Oryzias latipes: one gene and its partner. The protein of the gene in region 2 interacts with the protein of the main gene of each other region in a biochemical or structural test. Links are inferred from orthologs where the notes say so. Each region holds a gene or a part of one and is shown on either strand. Other genes may lie near its edges.

The links. The genes of interacting proteins can lie anywhere in the genome.
Region 1: the proteins of foxa2 (region 2) and otx2 form a complex in vitro, tested with the Homo sapiens proteins (2 studies listed by BioGRID). The link is inferred for Oryzias latipes from reciprocal best matches to the Homo sapiens genes FOXA2 and OTX2.

The regions. Positions count from the first base shown.
Region 1 is NC_019880.2:12,878,867-12,883,121, reverse strand, and holds the start of otx2 (homeobox protein OTX2), read left to right. Parts: upstream 1-1,407; 5' UTR 1,408-1,765; intron 1,766-3,409; 5' UTR 3,410-3,517; coding exon 3,518-3,614; intron 3,615-4,037; coding exon 4,038-4,189; intron 4,190-4,255. UniProt on the Homo sapiens protein: Transcription factor probably involved in the development of the brain and the sense organs. Can bind to the bicoid/BCD target sequence (BTS): 5'-TCTAATCCC-3'.
Region 2 is NC_019880.2:16,307,796-16,311,859, reverse strand, and holds foxa2 (hepatocyte nuclear factor 3-beta), read right to left. Parts: upstream 2,658-4,064; 5' UTR 2,490-2,657; coding exon 2,418-2,489; intron 1,964-2,417; coding exon 788-1,963; 3' UTR 540-787; downstream 1-539. UniProt on the Homo sapiens protein: Transcription factor that is involved in embryonic development, establishment of tissue-specific gene expression and regulation of gene expression in differentiated tissues.

The DNA of each region.
Region 1 (4,255 bases), about 3.4 Mb from region 2:
TGCTGACACAGCTCGAAATTCAGACAAAAATCCCGGTCGAAGTTGCATTCATCCTCTCCCCTCCGATCGAAATCTGTCAGCAGAGATGTCATCTTCGGAGCAGGCGCGCCATGCGTGCGTTTTGGGGAGCTCCGTGCGAGGCGCTGCGAGAAGAGCCGCTCCTCGTAGCAGCTGCCGCAGCACCTTTGACTCCGGCCTTTTCCACGCGCGAGAGGCGAACGACGAAAGCCGCGGTCTGCCTGTGTTTATAAATCTAAATCAATATTCAAATCTGGGTGAAGTGAGCGGGTGTGTCCGTGCAGGCGTGCTGTGGTGTGTCTGTGTGTGTGTGTGTGTGTGTTTGTCAGAGAGAGTGTGTGTAGGTGTTCCACAAAGCCTCTTAAGATGAGACATTTACCAAGCCGTGACAAAAACCCTCCAGTTTATTTTGAGACGCAGGTTCACCATTTAAGTGACGTAGCTTATTTGACAGCCCTTCATTAATTATTACAATAATACCAAAAATATTACATAGCAACAATAATACAGTATGACCACATTTTCACAATTTTCACTTTAAAAGTGGCTTACCTTTGCATAAAACAAAAATTTGTAAAAAATAAAAATAAAAAAGCAAAATTGCCAAAAAATCGTAAAATTGCTCCCTATTGTTTCCCCCCAAAAAAATAACAAAAACACGCCCCCCCCCCTCCATCCATCCATCCATCTCACCACGGTTCTTTGTGATTATTCTCTTCTCTGTTGGACGTGCAGGTGCCTCAGCCACTACAACCCCCCCCCCACCTGTAAGTTCTGCGCGTAAACTTCCACGCAGGCCCCGCGTGGGGCGGACGGCAGCAGACTGGCTGCTTCTGTGGACGGAAGGACACTTTAAAGAAATAAGTCTCTCTAAATCTTCTTTTTTTTGCGACGCACTGGAATGTGAGAGGACGCATGGAGAGCTCCCCCATTATTCCCCCCCCCCCCCCCCCCCGTTTCAGATCATTTTATTTAAGCTTTTTGAAATCTTTATATTCAAAATTGGGTATGATAAACTGGACATTTCAAAGGTATTTTATTTCTTTTATTTTAGGAGAAAAAATAATGGTAACATAAAGAAAATAATGTTGGGTTTTGGTTTATTTTTCGCCTTTTTTAAAGCCTCCCAGTTTGATGCCTCAATTCAAACACAAAATCCAACAAAAGCAGAAGTAAAGGGGAAAAACTGTTTTCCCTCTGATTTAAACTCGCTTCTTCACCATTCGCATCCATATCGTTCGTTTATCTTTGAGTGTACCCTCTCTGCGGTGGGATGGGGATGTTGTCAGTCGCCCTCTCGCTGCCATTGGCTGAGGAGTGTGCGTCAAAAAAGTAGCTGGAGACATTTGTTACCCTGGAAAAAAAAGAGAGAAAGAAAGACACCCTCCCCACCAGTGTGAGAGACGGAGAAGGAGACAGACCCCAGCTCGCTCCTGCGGCTCCCATTGGCTGGCACTTTGTACAAAATCTAACTCCAACCACTTCACTCTCAACACAACGACAAATCCTGAAGGCGCACACGCAGCCTCCTCCATCTCTCCTCCGCCGCTTCAGATCCTGATGAAGGCGCTCAACGCTCAACTTTTATCTGCTCTCTTGTTCTGCTTTGAGGAGACCTGGTTCGGTTCCTGCTCCGCTCTGTGATCCCATGATATTTATTCGTTTTTCAAGCAACAGGACTGCTCGTTTTCAGAGAGTTTTACCATTTATCTAAAGGAAACTGTGTTTTCTCAACATTCACGCTACGGTAAGTCTATTATTATTATTATTATTATTATTATTATTATTATTATTATTATTTGAACATAAGATTGTAAGGCACTATTAAACGCCTCTTAAAAATTATATTTTGTGAAAGTAAAACTTAAAAAACGTTTAAAGAAAAATAAAACTTTTGCAATTAAAATACAAGGAATGGTGAAAAACCTTTTTAGGAACCTGATTATGGAGAAAACTGAACCTCTACAATGACAGGAATGTCATTGATGCACTGTCAGTCCATAAAAAAATAACTAAAAACAAACATTTGATTTGAATTCAGTTTGAATTCTGTTAAAAGAAAGGAAAATGTAAGATTTCCAGTAAAGCATTTTTTTTTAAATAGAAAAGCATTTTTTTATTCATGGAAGTCAGACTTGAATTTTTTTTACACCATCTGTTTCTGAAACTGAACCCAAAAACGGATTTAGATGAGTTTTGGTGGATTTAAAACAGGAAAGAAAGACGACAAGGAAACAAACGACTTCATCTTTGTACTTTTTACGCACCAAACATATCACTGGAGACAGAACATTTAGGCCAAATCTCCAGGGCCTTGTTGTGTCTACTGTATGTGCCTGAGCAGATAAATAATTCAGAGGACAATAAACCAGCATGTCACATTTAATATGTTTGGCTACTCTTTGGGGGCAAACTCTGATTTCAAATGTCTGTTTGAAGATTTACAAATCGAATATTTGTTTACAATTTATTTGTATTCTTTTTTTCTTTGTATTACTAATAATTGTAAGAAAACATATTTACATAGTTTGTTGAAGAAATCTATTGGAGTTGAGTTCTGCGGTTTACGGTGCCTGCAGGATTTGTGTCTGCACTGACACCCTGCAGACAGACAGCAGCTCAACTTTCCTTCCACACGGATGTCCTCTTTCATTTATCAACTGCAAAACATTTATTATAATTACTGGTTGGACACGGGGTAATTATTATTGCGCGTGCGCGCACGAACTGCCGAGTGTTTGAGGTGACAGATTGGGTTGAGGGGGTTAAAACCGTTGGATATTGAAGGGAGGAAAAATGCAACTAATCAAGAGGCACAGTGGGGATAACGGGTGGCAAGGATCACTGAAGTTGAAGTGACAGCAATAACGTTTACAGGCGACCTCGCGGCGCGCATTTTATCGCTGTTTAAAAGTCACACGATCCACTTTGAAGGGTACTGTCTTTATTTTCAACTCTAAAATTACTTTTATGTGAAGATAATGAATAAAAATCACAAAAAATAAATTTGTTATGTCATGTTTGTGAGTAAAATGCATCAAAATGTTTGGTTACTTTAAAATATTTCACTTTATTTTGGGCTTTGGGAATTTTCGCAGGACATTATAAGTATTTTTTCTCCAATTTTATATGAAATCTTTTACTTTTTTGAAGTAGCCCCTGCGACTTTAATTAAATTTTCAAGTGACTTGTTGCGGTTATAACGCGCATTGTTTTTGTTGGCGGGAGGGGTGAGGGGGATTGAAGCAATGAGGACAGCTGGAGTTGTCGCCGGTCCTTTACGAGAAAGAGCTCGCATCCAGAGAGAGGGCTTTCAGATTGGAGCTGGTGGCACTTGACGGACCTCCGCCTCTTCATCAAGCTCCTTTTCTTTTTTGCCCTCTCCGAACAGGTGACGGGAACACGGGGAACGCCGGGAGTGGAGGACAGCCAGAGCGCATCGGGAGTTACATCCATTTTCAAAATTTTCTCCAACTTCAACCCCCAAACAAACATTAGCATGATGTCGTATCTAAAGCAACCACCTTACACGGTCAATGGCCTGAGCTTAACTACCTCTGGGATGGATCTTTTACATCCGTCAGTGGGATATCCAGGTAGGATTCCACGATTTTGATTAAAAGATATCCATAATAATGTAGATTTAAATAAAAACTATTAAAATGTATCCAGCATGATATTACCCATCAACTTCAGCCCTTTTGTTTTTGCAAAAAGCTAAATTTAAACTAATTCATTTTTTACTTTAAACTTTTTTTATTATTATTTGAAATATAATGTATTTTGCCTTATATATTTATTAAAACAAACCCAATTGTTATGAAGTGCTTTTTGTGTAGCAATGTTTCACCTTGCAGTCGTGCGTCATTACGCAAACAAAAGACTTTGGAAATTCCCCCATTAGTTTAATTTTATACTCTGATGGCATTAAATATTATTGCTTTAAGGAATGTGTATACATCAAATAACATGTTTTTTATGTATTTTTATTTATTTATTTTATTTATTTATTTTTGCAGCTACACCACGGAAACAGAGGAGAGAAAGGACTACTTTTACGCGCGCACAGCTCGACGTGTTGGAGGCGTTGTTCGCCAAAACGCGGTATCCTGACATCTTTATGCGGGAAGAAGTGGCGCTGAAAATCAATCTTCCCGAGTCCAGAGTACAGGTGAGACATATAAATATATAAAACTTTATAAATTTGTTATTTTACTCGATTTCATAAAAATCTCAA
Region 2 (4,064 bases):
TCCTGTGAGACAAATTGAGAGCATTGTACCCGGTTTTATGAAGCAAATCTATTAATCCGCTGTGGAAAGTATGCGCCTTTATTGGAGCATCACGTGGGTGAGAATATGTTTGTTTTTTTATTGAATAAAAAAAGACACAAACATGCTAAACTCCTTGTGTTTTTGACAGGTTATTTGTGATATTTCATGATCGATTTAATTGCCCAATAATTTATTCTTGGTCACATTTATATTTTGTGTGTTTATTTAATAGAAAAATTAGGAATACAGTTTGAATAAACGTTGTTACTGTTTGTACTTTATGCAAATTGAACGCCTAAATTCCAGTTTCCGTCTTATATAGCTTGGAAAACAGGGATTTCAACTCCTTTTTGCACAATTGTGATAATGTTAAAAATAATAATTTAAACACCGACATGTTCAGAAAGCAAAACAATAACACTTTAATATAGATTCTATTCTTGTCACTACAAGAATACACATATACAGACCATAAATAGGAAATACACAAATGACTGAACAGATCTGGCAAAGAATTCAAACTGGTTTCTGTGTCCACTTATGCAAACGTGAATATCTTACAGCAGTTTTTGTGTCTTTGGGGTCCATCTTTGAAGCGCAACACTTTATTCTCCTTACAGTCTAACAAGCTCAACAACTAAAACGGTGAGAAAGGTCAAAAATATCTCAAATACATATAGTACACAAAGTCTATATTTTTTTGTTTTTGTTTTTTACAAATGTACAAACTGGAATGGGGGTGGGGGGCAGTCTGCATACAGGGAGCCTACGAGGAGTTCATGATTGGCCTGGAATAGACCCCTTGGTAGTAGGATGTGTCGGGTATAGATGCAGAATCCAGGCCGGCTTTACCCGCCATGGAGCCCATGGAAAGCGCTCCGGTCATGGGGGAGCCATATCCAGAGTAGTGCATCACCTGCTCGTAAGTCTTAAGGTCCATTTTATGGTGCTGTTGCTCCGATGACATGAGATTATTAATAGAGAAGGGGTGGTTGAAGGAGTAGTGGTGCTCCGGCTTGAGGTGGGCTTCGTGCGCCAGGACCGAGTGATGCTGAGACATGAGGTGCTGCCCCTGCGACACCGGGGAGGGCGCGGTGTGCTCCGGGCTCAGGGCCTGGCTCCCCTTCATGTCCGACAGGGACCTTTTGTGCTCGCCGGAGGAGGAGTTAGAGTGCGGGGACTCGTTGCCGTTGCAGCTGTCCGAGCTGCTGTTGGCAGAGCCGCCGTCTCCACCCTTGCGGCCGGGCTCCTTCATGGACATCTTCTTCTCGCATTTGAAGCGCTTTTGCCTCCTCAAGTAGCAGCCGTTCTCAAACATGTTGCCGGAGTCCGGGTGAAGAGTCCAAAAGGAGCCCTTTCCGGGTTTATCCGGCGACCTGGGGACTTTGAGGAAACAGTCGTTGAATGACAAAGAGTGGCGGATTGAGTTCTGCCAGCGCTGCTGGTTTTGTCGGTAAAAGGGGAAGAGGTCCATTATCCACTGGTAGATCTCGGCCAGCGTCAGCATCTTACTGGGTGACTGCTGGATGGCCATGGTGATGAGAGAAATGTAGGAGTACGGAGGTTTGGCGTGCGTGTAGCTCCGCCGGTACGTCTTTGGATCTCGGGACCTGTTGATGTTCGACTGTCCGTAAATGGGGCTCATGGCGTTCATGTTGGTGTAGGATGTCAGGGCGTTCATAGACCCAGGCTGTCCGGTCATAGGACTCATGCTGGGGCTCAGGGCTGTGCTCATAGCCGTCATGCCTGCTCCCATCCCGTTCATGGCTCCGGTGCCTGGTGACATGCCGGTCATGGAGGGGCTCATGCCCGTGTTGACGTATGACATGTTCATGGAGTTGGCCGTCATGTTTGCGGTGGTGCTCATGCCGGACATGCTCATGTAGGTGTTCATAGAGTTCATTCCCAGGCCGGTGTTCATGTTTCCAACAGAGGTGTAACACTGTCAGTGAAGGGGGGAAGAAATGTTCATGAAATTTGGCATCATACAAAAAAATGAATATTCAATAACACACAATTACGGGTATGTTAATTTCACTGCGTAAAACTCAATTACTACTAACATTTTTATATGGAAAAAAATCAATGAAACTAACACATAAGCTGAAAATTTCCATCAAAAAATACAAGGCAAATCCCCCACATTTTCTAAATGAATTAAAAAATGATTTAAATTTGTTTTTTAATAATAAATCTGAGGGGAAAGTTTCTACGTCGCATATCCGTCAACTTTGTTAGGTTAGCGCGCTGCGAGGAGATGGGGGAGGATTTGGAGGCGCCTCAAGTCAATATTTGATCACAAAGTTAATATTATCTCAGGGCTAATATTGAGTTGTATTAAATGGGATCGGCTTTAGACCGAAAAAAATATATATATTTATATTTAAGGTACCCACCTCGGGCTCTCCATAGTATGTGCTCCAGTCGGTGTGTTCGTGTCCTTCCATTTTAACTGCTCCAAGCATCATGGAGGACTTGAACGAAGCGTCTCCCAGCAGAGGAAAAGCCAAAAAGTCTTTCTAACAGCAAGTGACTGGGGACCACTGAGGGTTTTTGGGTGGTCGGCGTGTCCGTTTGTCGAGGGCTGGCGCATGTGTGTCGCGCACAGACAGCCGCGACGCGTCTGTCAGTGAGCGGAGTTCAAATGACGCTCCGTGCTGCTCGTTAACGCTGTGATATAGCTCTGTGCGCCAGGCAAGCCTCCAATCCCTACTTCTACGCCTTGGGCCCTATTTGAATAATCTCCTCGCACCTAGGCGTGAGACTCCTCAGGCTCCCCCTCTCATCCCCCCCAACCCCAATTGTACACCTGCGCTGAGTGAAAAGAACAGTTTCATATGAAAAGCTTCATTTAAAACTAATCTTATTGTAAGGGGGAAATAAAAGGGAAAGGAATGTCGTGCGCTTTCAGAGTTCCTTTTACGCACGGAGTTTTTCTCATTCAGCAATGCTAAAATCATAACCTTTTGATACCTTCAAGGAATTTTGGTCTTAACTGTTAAATATTTTAAAGTAGAACCACAAAATACGAAAATCAATTCATTTATGAGACTGTTTTTACATGATTCTTTTGCGCAAAACACAAGAATAGGTCCTTGTTGTGTATCAGGTTATACTAAAAAAACAGTACCTTTTACGGAATATGTCAATTTTTTGACAATTTTTTTTCAAGGATGTTAAAGAACTAAAAGCTGCAACGAGTTCACATATGTGCACGTGCGCACAACACAGCTGTGATTTAAAACGGCCTTTAATCATTAAGCTAAAAAAAAACAGGTAAAGCTCGTTTATTTTGCAGCAGCTCTTTACTTATAGTCACATTCGAATTTGAAACACAACAATGCCTTTTTATTTCTCAGAAAAAATCATAAAACAATAAAAATGAAGGTGATTTTTTTTACAGAGAACGCTCGTTTTTTTAGTGTTTGGTGCGTTTCTCGACCTGCATGAGTGAATTAAAATATTTCCAAATGTTTTCATTGATGGTAAATAAACCAGACGCAGCGCCAGAGCGCCCTCTCTCGGTTATTTCTTCAAATGTTAAATCTTCAAATTCTGTAAACTGAAAAAATCAGATTTGTTTAAATTATGTGCACTTAGCACATTTTTATTTTTACTCCAATTCAGTAAAAATAATAAAGTCGATATCCATTGTGATGTAACATGTAATTCATTATTCGTTAAATTTACAGAATTTTTGCAGTTCACTCCATCCTTCCTAAAATAGTAGCAACTGTTTCTGTGAGGAGCTTTTTAAGTAGTGGAGGTAAATATATGTGTCAGCTTTTCTTCTAAAAGGGAGTCCAGGGGCTGCAGTGTTAACCTGATTCCCGGAGCCCTTACTGTATTTGTATGAAACAAACATCAAGGTGAGGCTGCCGAGCGCCGTCAGCCACGTGTCGGTGGTTGTACATCTATTTGACTGCATATTTACGCAAGAGCAAAACTATCAGGATAGAGCCCCATTAGTAAAGGCGAGTAAACCTGTGGTGTTGACGAGGGACTAACACAGTCTGCTTAACTTGGAAATTAGATCATGAGAA